Linked DNA regions of Arabidopsis thaliana. The protein of the gene in region 2 interacts with the protein of the main gene of each other region in a pairwise test. Each region holds a gene or a part of one and is shown on either strand. Other genes may lie near its edges. The genes, in order: AT2G32450 and SCAB1.

The links.
Region 1: the proteins of SCAB1 (region 2) and AT2G32450 interact in a two-hybrid assay, tested with the Arabidopsis thaliana proteins (one large-scale study listed by BioGRID).

What each region holds. Positions count from the first base shown.
Region 1 is NC_003071.7:13,776,391-13,781,898, reverse strand, and holds AT2G32450 (Calcium-binding tetratricopeptide family protein), read right to left. Parts: upstream 3,580-5,508; 5' UTR 3,286-3,579; coding exon 877-3,285; 3' UTR 501-876; downstream 1-500. Other genes in the region: KAO2 (ent-kaurenoic acid hydroxylase 2), read right to left, coding at 4,116-4,212, 4,306-4,427, 4,535-4,641, 4,732-4,810, 4,906-4,992, 5,061-5,324, 5,404-5,508.
Region 2 is NC_003071.7:11,403,406-11,410,661, forward strand, and holds SCAB1 (plectin-like protein), read right to left. Parts: upstream 5,017-7,256; 5' UTR 4,795-5,016; intron 4,480-4,794; exon of another isoform or gene 4,418-4,479; intron 4,344-4,417; 5' UTR 4,339-4,343; coding exon 4,057-4,338; intron 3,744-4,056; coding exon 3,615-3,743; intron 3,398-3,614; coding exon 3,305-3,397; intron 2,865-3,304; coding exon 2,724-2,864; intron 2,627-2,723; coding exon 2,558-2,626; intron 2,437-2,557; coding exon 2,353-2,436; intron 2,209-2,352; coding exon 2,028-2,208; intron 1,808-2,027; coding exon 1,691-1,807; intron 1,511-1,690; coding exon 1,452-1,510; intron 1,367-1,451; coding exon 1,232-1,366; intron 1,136-1,231; coding exon 986-1,135; intron 903-985; coding exon 852-902; 3' UTR 574-851; downstream 1-573. Other genes in the region: AT2G26780 (ARM repeat superfamily protein), read left to right, coding at 6,720-6,905, 6,995-7,162, 7,253-7,256. UniProt on the Arabidopsis thaliana protein: Plant-specific actin binding protein that bundles and stabilizes microfilaments (MFs). Has no nucleation or capping activity. Regulates MF reorganization during stomatal closure. The binding to F-actin is insensitive to Ca(2+) and pH.

The DNA.
Region 1 (5,508 bases), 2.4 Mb from region 2:
TTGGATGTGTACTTGACTTTTATTTAGGAGAATTACTATAACAAACGTAAGAAACAAGTAAGAGCTCGAGAGTAGAAAATGGGGGAGGAGAATGTGATTGGGCAGTGAACCAACTAGTTGCATCCATTGCCATTGGCTTATGTCATTTGCATATTATTTCACACTATTCCAAGAAATAATTTCCTTAAATTGCGGCTCCCAAAGAAAGAAAAGATAATAATTATGTATGCAAGTAGGTCCATAACATATTTTTTCTTATGAGGTTCCTTAATCTTTGTACTTGCACCTTATCTGAGTTCTGACATCACACTGCAGTTCTTGGATCAGAAGTCTCTTTATTTCTACATTTTCACTTTACTTTATCTGGATATATTGATGTCACTCACTCTACAGTTTTCTTTCTTCTTAAGTTCCTCAAAATATAGTAATAATTCCTTCTCTAAAATGTCATTTCATATAATAATACTGAATCAAATAGCACAATGCGAGAAAAAAGTAGTACTAAAAGATAAAAAGCTGAAAAAGCACTCATTCCAAATTTAGCATCAATATGCAAATGACTACAGATGCTATGAAATTCTGAATCTGACAAGAAAGTCAGAAACTGGCCAAGCCTGAAAATGTCAGAAATTACATTCTAGAAACTGAATACAGTTTATTCCATTCACGACCATCGACAAAATCATATTAATCTGAAATTGAGTGGAAAATAAAAAAAATACAACAAGAAATCATCAATCATACTTGCTCACCAACACACACTACATCAAAACTATACACACAACTTAAGAAAAAAAGACTACAGATTAAGATTTAAGAAACAAGAACTGTGGAAATTGAATTATACCACCAAAAAAAAAAACTTATGGATATTTTTCAAGTGGCTATTGTTTTTTTATGAGATTGCATTGAAAAACAAACACACTTAGCTTTCATGGCTTCCACTTCACTCGCATACTCTCTGAATTTATATTCCTCCTGCTGTTTAAACGTTGGAGGAATCTTCCCTTCGCTGTAACATTGGTTACAGAGGCTAAACCCTGTTTTCACTTCCTTAAACCGAGACCCGATAATCGGATATCGGCAAACTGAACAAACCTGGTTCCCGTGTCGATTCCTATCTCTTGTTTCGAGTTTAAAAACAGTCGACATGATACCAAATCCCCACTCTGAATCATCGTACATCTCTAGAAACTGGTTGAATGTTACCGTCGAAGTATCATCGCTTTCTCCATGAACTTCTAACATTTCACTCATTCCTTGTGATGGTATGTAGATAGCTCTCAAGAGTTTGATGTATTTGACGGCTTCCATTTTTGTAATCTGAGAGCTTCCTTCGTTTACCGGTTTCCAAAGTAGCGCATCAAATGCAACTCTTTTCCTTTTGTCTGGATGGCCACCGCATAAAGGAGCAATCACTGCGTAAAACATTCCCAAATCGACTCTTCCCGACCCTGAATCATCAAGAACCGAGAGGATTTTCTCGTTTATGGCCTTAATAGCTCCTTGGAAAGTTTCAGGTTTCAGGACATTAAGCAGACGCCGGAGAATCTCTTCTAAGTTTGGTCTCCTTATAGATTTTGTGGGAATTCCATTGCCGGAATAGGATACAGGAACATTGTTGTCTCTCATCTCTCTTCTTAATGCTTCAACATCGCATTTCCACAGCCTTGTGACTCTCTGGAAGGCTCTAACTTGAAGAGCTATGGCTAAATCTGGCCTTAAAGTAGTCTTCTCGCCTACCGTCTTGAATTTGGAAGATTCCACAACAATAAACGGACCTTCTTCGTTAGCACTATTTCCTTTTTTGACCTTTTTCTTCTTCTGCAACTGTTTCAGATGAGATACCGCATCGTGCAACTCAACTCGGTTAGTCATTTTCAGGGCCTCCTTTAAAGCCCTTTTAGCTTCTTCGGTCTCTCCAGCACCCAACAAGGACACAGCCTTGTTGAGTTGTGCACGCCAATGGTTAGGCCACACCGCTAAAACTCTAGTGTACATCTCTGAAGCTCTTTGAAACCTACCCAAATCCATGTAAAGCCCACCGAGGTTATAAAGAGCATCAACATGACCAGGTTTCAAATCTATAGCTCTCTGGAAAACCTCAATAGCCCTCTCATCCTCCCCCATTGCATGAAGCGACGAAGCCAAATCACAATGCGCATCAGCATAATCCGGTTTCAAATATATAGCTTCCTCTAAAGCCTTCACAGCAGCTCTATACTCTCCTACACCAAACAGAGCACTACCTAGAAGCTTCAAGGCTCTGTAATGCGTTGGACAAAGAATCGCAGCCTCTCTATAATACTCACAAGCACTCAAAACCATACCTTCACCTTCAAGAGAGATACCAAGATTGACATAAATCTGAGGAAGCAAGTAAGCCCATTGATTCCCACCAGACTCCGCAGCTTCCAACGCCAACAAGAACTCGTCTTTCGACTCTTTATACTTCCCCAATACATAAAGACAATTCCCAGCTTTGAAATGAGGTCTCACATCAGTCGGTTGCAACTCACAAGCTCTCTTAAAACTAACAAGAGCTTCTTTAAACAACTGGTGCTCATACAAAACCTTACCAATCGCCATATGTCCATCAAAAGCTTCTTCTCTTGATCTAGCACCATCTGCTTTACTTCTCAACACACCTAATTCCTTCACAAACACTCCATAATCATGACTCGATTCTTCCCAATAGATTCTCTTATCCGAAATATCCGAAGACGGTCCTAACTCTCTAGACCATCCAGCTTCAGAAAACGCATCAACATTATTATTATCCACTTTCAATTTCCCATCTTTCTCCTGCTTAGACTTCAATCTCTTAACCAAAATCTCCAAATCATCAACAAGCTTCCACGTCTCATCGAAAACAATACCATGGTTCGGCGAAACCGCCCAAGCTGCCGTTCTCTGCTGCTTCTGCGCTTCAACAGCTCTCTCATCAGTAATCGAAGATGACGAAGCTTCAGAGGCACCCTTTGTCTCTTCGTTAAACTCAATCCCTAAAGCGTCGAAATCACGATCAACATCTCCAGCACCGTCGTCGTAAGTTCGGAGAAGACCGTCAAAGGTCAAACCTTTATCTCCGTCGATGAATTCAGCGTAGGTTCGAAACACTTCATCGAGAATTGCGCTTATCTGTTCGTCGCTGAATTTAACCCTAGGGTTCACAGCTACGACGAGAGCTGACATCTCTTCACGGCTTAATCCTCCGTCGAGATTCCCGTCGAATTGCTGGAAAATTCTCTTGACTTTCTCCGATCTGCTTCCTCTCGTCGTCATTTTTTCCTCACCGGAAAAATAAAAATCCAACCTTTTATCTTTCCCTCCCCACAAAATCTAAAAGTGAGAATCCAATGTAGGAAAAAACACGAAATTGAACACTAATTACGGATCAATTTCGAAGCTTTGTTGAGAGAAGCTACTTAATCCTCTGGTTTGTATTGTGAAAAAAAGTTGCTAAATTTAAGAAATGAAGAAGAAATCAAAGTGGTACAAGAGTCCGAGCTGTCTATTTGTTGTCTCTCTGTGTCTTAAAAAAAACTCAGAGATAGTGGACAGGAGATAACGGTGTTGTTGTACTCTGCTGTTGTGGGCTTAACTCTATCTTTTATTATTTTGATTAATTCTTACGAAATATTTGTCTTTCTAATTTTTTTTTTAAAATTCGAGAAAAGTAAGTACAACTATATAAATAGTTCAATAGTCAATACCAATAAATTGAATATTTATTGAAGAAGTCAATTCTCCACTTGTAATTAGAAAATGTGATAGAGAAGAGATAAAATGACGCATTATTGGCTAATAAATGCGAAATAAAGAACAAACCTTGATATTAGTTTAATCAATTCACACTAACCTTGATGTGGTAATCAAGCTAGGTTTTATTTCAAGAAATTCGATTTTACTTTTTTATAACCAAATTTGAAGCTAAACCAGAGAAAAATTTCAACATTACTTTGACAAATCCTTCAAACTATTGATACATCCTAGTAAACCAAATTCACAAACCGAACCGGTTTGGATCAAGTTCTAAGAGAAGATGAAGACAATGGAAACCTGAGACGAAGCTTATATATTTGCTAAGGGGTCTACTAGTTTGAAGATGATGATTATGGCATCGTTCTGGTGATTCTTGCTAGGCAATTATCTTTGGGTCGATTGTGAGGCAAGAACATCACCGGACATCCGGGATTGCTCCTTTCCACCCTGTGATTATGCCATTGGAAACAAAACATTACGATTCTGCATGCAGAGTGATAACTTGAAAGCTGAGCTATATACAGAGAGAGAGGAAGTTACCGGTATTTGAGGAGGAAATGATGAAGAAAAATGGAAATCTCGAGCTTGGCAAGATCGTTTCCCGGGCATAGGTGGCTTCCCAAACCAAAAGGAAGGAATGTGCCTGCTTTTGGTGTGTATCCCTGTAGAAGGAACCAGACAATGTTCAGATACTTTTGACATATAAGAGACGGCATCACCAAATACAGTTACAAAGACATTTCATTGTAGAATGCTTATCTCTACGTACCTCCCATCTTGAAGGATCAAATTTCTTTGGATCCGGGTAGATTTCAGGGTCCAAATGGACGTTCCTAAACCAAGTCAGAACCTTCCAGCCTTTTGGAATTATATAGCCTGAAAGAAGAGACATGAGAAATGAGTATAATAAAAAATTAAGATGATTTACCATGTTCCATGTAGGTAATGAGTATACTGATTACTGACCATCCATTTGGACATCACTCTTTGCTTCCCTGAAGGCCGTCAGAGAGAATGTAATTACTCGAAGGGTCTCATCAATAACCTGATAAAAAGCTCTTTCCATCAGTAAAAGACTGTAACAACTCATACAATGTTATAAACACCAAAAATTACGTTGCAATGAGGCAGAAACTTGACCTGAGAAAGATACACCATTTCACGTGTCTCTTTAAGCGTCAACTTCTGTCCCGGTGCTCTCTTTTTTACGATCCTCTCTTGTTCTTCCTATGGTACAACGAATATCACAACTCAAGAGTATAAACTGAAATTGTGAAACATATCTTCTAATTTACCTTAGCCTTTTGCAGAATCATAGGGTGTTCTTGCATCAAAATGGTAGCCCACATAGTGAGGTGTCCAGAAGATTCATGACCCGCATTAAGATACATCAACAAAAGGTCAATAATTTCCTCATCATCTAAGACTCTTCCGTTTTCATCTTTAACATCTATTAGATTATCCAGCATATCTTTTCTATTGGATGAAATATTCTGCTTCCTTTGATTTCTTCGGTTAGTCACTATGGACTGAAAGGCAGCTACAAGTTTTTTCCTTGCCTGTATAAGTGGAAAATACTACTCTTCAAATCCCAAGAGATATGCACAAGTGGAAACAAGAGGTTGTTGAATGTTTTACCTTCAAAGCTCTATGATAAGCAAACCCAGGAAGATTAATACCCATTGCTCGAACTCCATAGTTAAGGTTGGTATACTCCCGTTCCAATGAATCCATGACATGCTC
Region 2 (7,256 bases):
GGAATTTTTAACTCTTTTTGTCACAGATATCTTCTAGTTAAAATGAAATCTTTGGTTACTAATCTAAAGACATAAATTCGTTTATTGACGAATCTAAAAACCATAAATCACTTGGATATATATTCATTCCCGTTTTTTTCCTCTCTTCCTTCGAAACTGCGTTTCAAACCTCTAAATCGAGCTTTTTGATTTTGAGGGTTAGTGTTGGCTTTGTTGATGAGACAATTGCGATAACACTACTTTTGTGTAGTTCCACTATATCAAAACTTTGTGACTTTGTCACATGTTAAATTTGATATGCATCTAAGGGCAGCTGGATTCGCAGAAGGAAGAGTGATGAGGTGGACGGTGGACCAATGTGGTTTGCTCTTCTTCCTTCGCATGACAACTTAACTGTTTCTTGTGCATGAAGGAACAAAACCCTAGTCTACTTTAGTTGTTGATCATGTAGTTGTGATGATCTCTCTCTTTTGTTCTATCTTTTTGTTGTTGTTTGGTTTTAACATTGGAATCTCTGTGAGATCGGTTAGTGAGAATGATCGACGATCATGGATTTTCGGGTTTGTTGCAGGATTTTGGCTGTGATTCACTTGCAATATATTGTATGCTTTGGGATCCAGTCCAAAACAAGCAATCCGTTATATTACCTCAAGGGCAAGTAAGATCAAAACAAATGAATAAACACAAGCCACCCGTTACATATAGATTCACCATCACCTCTTACTTCACTGCTCGATATTTTTACACACAATACAAGTACAATTCAAACAAATGCCTAAAACCTATATAAACTACAAAACAAATAAGCTCTTACGGATACTAAAAATCACAACTTAGGTAAGAGCCGTTCTTCAAGGGCTTTGACCCGTCTCTGTTCTGTCTTCTGGACCAGCAAGTGTCACCTGCAACACATCAGTTTCATACTTACATCAACACCTCTCTCTACAAAAACCAAAGTTTCTAACTCCATCTTAGTTATACTTACATTACAATCACAAGCAAATCTTCGTGCAAGCATGATCGCAGCGTTTCTTTCTCTCTCAGACTCAAAAGCTATCACAAATGACACTCCTTTCTTCGCCTGCCAATACAATGCCTGAGCTGCAGCATTTCCACCTCCTCTCACTCCACATAGCTACTCAATATGATCATCAAAGATTATGATATTATAGATCTCACCGTGTAACACTAAAAATATGACAATTTTCTCGGGGTAAAGTAGTATCCTTACCTGCATTGCACTAGAGTAGTACTCTTTTGCAATCACTGTCTTTCCCTTGCAAAGTTTTATCCTCATTTTACCAACATGAAACAAGTGGATAGATTCTGATGTATGGTCTTCCCCACTCATTTGGGTCACAACTACCTGTAAATTACAATAAGGGGAAATATAATATACATACAAGCACCAAATATATAAATACTAATTCCGAGTGTTAGAGAAACCTTACATTGAAATCAACATCGTGTTTCCGTACTAATGCCTCGACATAGCTACCCAATCCAGCAGCTGCACCAAATCAAGACTTTGTTATGTTTGATAAATCATCTAGTAATGACGAAAATCAGGACCGTGTTTGTTGATTTGTCAAAGTTAAGTAATATCTACTAAGTGACAGAACCTACACAAACCATTTGATCATGTTGACATAAACAATAACCTTTTACAGTAAATAACATAACAATGAACCTGGATCAATCTTTCCCACTGTGGATAACGAAAGCGAATGGCCATCGTAGATGATATCTGCATGCAAGACTCGTCCAACGTCAAAAGGCTCGGGAGCGTAAACTGATTTTGTGGCACCTGAGATAGGAACATAGTTAGGAAACATTTTCCTCAATGGGAACAATGTTAAACTTGATTTTGCCCTATTTACACCAGCCTTTGGAAATATATTGTTCACAATTCCAAAATCATTAGTTAGAAGAAACAATCTGATTTGTAATCGACTAGCTCACAGAACAGAACATTTTAAAACTCAAATATAATAAGAGAAAGAAAACAATGAGAAAGGTGAGTGGACCTGATATAAGCTCCTTCTTGGAGCCATCTGAAGATGAACGGTACCATTGTATCGTACACTTGGAAAGATCAGGTGCATCATTGGAGCAAGGTCTAACTCGCAAACAAGATCCTAGAGCTTCAGTGCCATCTATTTCATATACAAGGGATATATTTTCCTCGCTCTTTCTGCACATTGCGAGCTGAATCATAGAAAAATGTATATAGTATCAGAATCCACTATTTGTCAACCGCATACAGTCACAAATGTGGAAGTTAAGACATCAAAAGGACCTGGAATGCACTAAATAGAATATATATGTGTATGGAATATGGATCCAACTAACCTTCTTTTGTAGTTGAAGAAAATGTTTTGATTTCTCTGCAAGCTGATTTCTTAGTGCTCGAAGCTCATATTCCATATCCATTACCTAAAACAATACACATGATTTGACTTTTTAAAAACAACATAAGATACTAAAGAAGCATCGACTTAGACAGACAGATAAAGCCATTTAAACCCAAGAGATAAACCATCTTTCATCTACCTACCCTGCTTGGTTGATGCAGCATTTTAATCCGCCTAGCTTCTTGAACTTCCTTCATTAGATCTTCCATGTCCTGATACGATAAATTATAACAATACTCTGTTAACACGAATCAATGTTATAAGCATAGGACATTTACAAGATTATGATAGAAGCCATCACTAAAATACTTGTTTCCCAGAGGCACGAGACATCTGTTCATGTTCTCGCAGGGCTTCTTCAACTCTTTGTACAGCTGCTCTTGCACTTTCAATCTCAGCACGTGCAAACGCTCTTTCCTCGTCGACAAGTTTCTTAGCATCCTCTGAGGCCTAGTTAAAAAATCATACCCACTAATCAGCAAGATTATTAGAACACATCTGCATCTTTTTCAAGCTAGCCCATCTAGTAACCACTAATTTACAACCGACAACAGAAGACTAATACAAATGTCCCAAGCAAGATAAGAAAAAGAATCAAGAATAGTAAGTGAAAGATTATGTCTGTAAAGAAACTACATCATAGTTCTTTGTCAAAAGTAATAGAATATAAACTACTCAAATGAAAACAAAAAGGACAGACTCTCTCTTAATCATCTGGTTAGCTCAAGGACTAACAAAAACTGCATGGTATTAAGCCGTGGACGAAAACGTATTTGCTATTTTAGAGGACTTGGTTGTTTCAAGTGAAATGACATAGACGTCTCCTAACTATTCACCTCAAGTGACACGAGAAAAGAAAATATTGTCACTGTCTCAAAGGCACACTTTACCTGCTTTAAAAAAGACGCTAGCTTTTTCACTTCCGCTTTTTCTATGAATAGCTCTCCTTCTCGCTGAGTCAACTGAACAGCTAGAGCTTCAACCTAGCAGAATTCAAAATTCCAAACATACTTAAGATATAGAGGTGGAAGGGAAAAATGTTGGTAATGGGGATTGTGAGACAATTTAAGAACGCAGAACTGAAAATGGAAAAAAACACATTTCGGTTTGTAGAAAAGGCTAGAGGCGATATATATCACCATGTAAAGGAACGGAGCTAAATATGATGACTAAAAGACTATAAAAGAGTAAAAGACTAACCATGGCAATGGCTTCCTCTACATCATCCTTGTTTCTACCTGCCACACGTCCTCTTAGAGACTCCAATGCATCTCGAAGTTTCTTTAAAAGAACATGTTTCTCCAACGAAGTTGCTTCTTTGAGTTTTGCCTGCATTCGTTCCCAACCAAATTAGCCTTAAATTTTTTTTTCAATCATATCATATTTTCACTTTAGCAACCTAGATTAGCCTTCTTGATCCCCTATTTCTGTATTTATAACAACAAAAAATTCTTTGCTAACAAAAAGTAAGGTTATCACCGAATTAAAATCCCTCTTATTAAATCCTATTTAGTAGACTCAATCAACACAAAAACTAACATAAATGTGCAAATCAACTCATTACATAGTAACCAAAGATAGTAACAATACAAGAGACACATTTCATCTATAAGACCTCAACAAAAAGAGAATAATATCAGACCTCCTCAGATAGCTTAGCAGCTGCAGCCAAACCCTTCTCAAATTTATGAGCGAGGTCACGAACAGACAAACGTTTCTGCTGGTCCATAAGCTGCGCTGTCTCACGCGCAACAACCTCTTTCATGGACATCACTTTAGGATCGTCTTTAACATCAAATATTTGATCATTAGCTCCAATTCTATAATTAGGAAATCTACTTGAAGCAAATTTCACATCTGCTGATACTGCAGGAACACCATCTCTCTGTAATGAATCCCGAAAATCGCGTGTAACCCTTGTCATTGTATCTGTTTATAAACAAAACCAAAAATGCTTAGACAAAAACAAAATAAAAGACAGAAAATGCTAGTAGATGTCTAACCACTATGAATAGTAATATACTCCAATGGACTCACAGATCTGTTGTTGAATCTTCACAAAAATCTAAAACAACAAAAACAAAACATTGTTTTTTTCAGTACCTACGCCAATGTTGGAAATAACAATGGATTCAACACACATTTAAAAACATTTTATAGCTACAGAGATAAAGAATTGATGGATGTCAAAACCCTAGATTACCAAACAAAAGAGCTAACAACAACTACCCATATACCAATTTAGTAACAAATTTCAAAGAAGATAGAAATTGAAAGTCAAATTTTAAGAACTTGAAATCGAAAATCAGAACACAAAATACTGCAATAATCACGAACAACGTCGGAGATTTTCAAGAGAACAAAGCTAAACACTTCTCACCTGAATCCGATTAATGGATCAGACAAATGTTTTGAGTTGAGATCGAATTTGAGAAGGTCGTCGAGAACAGAGAAGGAAGAAGAAGAAGATTTGGTCTGAGGAGAAGGCAAAAAGTGAAGTTTGAGAGAGTCGTAAGCATTAGCTTTACTAAAAAGCAAAGACCGTGAAAAAATTGTGGCTTTGGTGGAAACACTGTCTTTTTTCTTTTTTTCTTTTTTTTTTAATTTAGTTTTGTTTAAAAGTTTTTCTGGTTTAGGTAATAAATTGTTGCATAATTTTCAACTCCGGTTGATGTGTGTCGCTGTCGGACTGTTGTTGTCTGAAACTTAAAAATCACAGAGCGGTCACGGGTTCTGTTTCGTGTTTAACTGCCACGATATTCTTTTTAATTGTTTTTTAAAAGGGAAAGTAATCAAAATGATGACACTAATAAGAGTGGTTTGGTGTGAAACTTAGACCTTTCTTACACAAATTTGGTAAAGCCAAAACTTTTTTTGGTCATGGGGATTTATTTTTTTTTACTTTTTATTTTTTTTTTTGTCATAAAGAAATTATAGAATCTTGTTGTGAAAGACGTAAAATATAATGCCCAAACAAAAAAAACGTAAATTGGCGGATAAACTATAAGTTCCCAAAAAAACATAAGCTGGCGGAAAAAGAGAATTCTTCGGAATCTAGATCCTAAATAAAGAAGATGAAGTAAACTCAAATTATAATGCAGAAAATATCAAACCAATCTCGAAAAAGGACGATAGTACAAACTAAGATCCATATTAACAAGACAAAATCTTAAAAAAATAAGAGATCCAACAAAGCAGAAACTCCACTTCTTTTAACACACCTGCAAGTACGATTGATCAAATCCAAAATAACATTTACCACCTCCTATCACGTTGAGAGCCAATCTCTCGAGAACCAAGGATATCATAACCCGACATGCAAGACCACTAAAAGAAACACAAACACCATTCCAGATACGACGATGACCACCAATTCGTCACTTAACGTCTAGATAGAATCCTTCAAAAAACAATCAGATTACGACAAAATTGTAAAAGAAGGACAAGAAGCGAGGCAAAACTTCTCAAAACCCACCAATCACAAGATCACCAATCACGAGTAAAGCCACAACTATTTTAATTAAATCATACAATATCCTAAATTAGGCTTTTCTTTTTGATAAATTAAAAAAAAAAAGATAGGATCATCCAACAAAAATAGTACAAACAAAAAATGTCAAAATCTTGCATCACCTCTAAAAACCTTTCATGTTAACAAAATCTTGCATATTTTTGCCCTATACAAAGTCTTGCATATATACAAAGTCCTTTGGTATATTGTTGTTAGCCACCTTATCTAACTCTTTTACGGGCTCTGTCCTCATGAAGAAGAACAATTTTTTTAATAAATTGTTACCTTACCACATATAAGCTTAATCTGGAATGGTTGTGATTTAATCAATGAAGATATTGCCTCAAACCTGAATAGAGGAGTGAAAGTGGATTTCAATTGGTTGGTTATCAAACCCATCAGCATGATACCTGTTAGTTTCTCGGCCATACCACTCAATCATTGCCATAAATATCATTGAAGTCTACTAGTCTGTTTGAGACATTCAACTCACACAAGTGGTGGGTTATTTTCTCTGACAAACACGGCCAAACAATAAAATTGCTGAAAACAAGAAGTTGCCTAAAAAACCAAAGGACTTGTGAGAAAAATGGCAAATGCGGGCTAGGATGGGCTGTGGATTAGAGGCCCAATATGCCTAATGGGATACAACACGACGTCGTTTAGACCAGCCATAGTTCTCTTGTCCGCCAAGACGGGAGAGACTAAGGAAAAGCATAAGAAGAGAAGAACCAAAGAAGAAGCAAAGAAGCACTGATAAATCTCTGCAACTCAACAAATTTCTGAGATTAGCTATGGAAGGTTCTTCATCTTCGTCTTCGTTAATTTCCAAATCGGACGCTGAGTTGGAGGAAATGCTCGATCGGATGCTGACGAGACTCGCTCTTTGCGACGACTCCAAGCTCGAATCCCTAGTCTCTAACCTCCTTCCTCTTACCATATCTTCTCTTTCTTCTCAATCTCCCGTTGTTCGCAACAAGGCAAGTCAGAGATTTACGAGCTCTTCCTCTGAATTTAGTGTTTGACGATTTCATATTGATTCTTAGTGTGTGTTGATTTCATTTTTCAGGTTCTTGAGATATTGAGTCATGTTAACAAGAGAGTGAAGCATCAGCATGAAATTGGTTTGCCTTTATTGGCTTTATGGAAATTGTACACAGATCCTGCTGCTGCTCCTATGGTTAGGAACTTTGCTATTGTCTATGTTGAGATGGCTTTTGAACGAGCTCCTGCAAAGGTTTGCTTCATCTTAATAGTTGTTGGAATTTGCGTTTGCTTGTCAATACTTTGGAAATGAGAGGACTGATTTTTGTTTAAGTTTTAATAGGAAA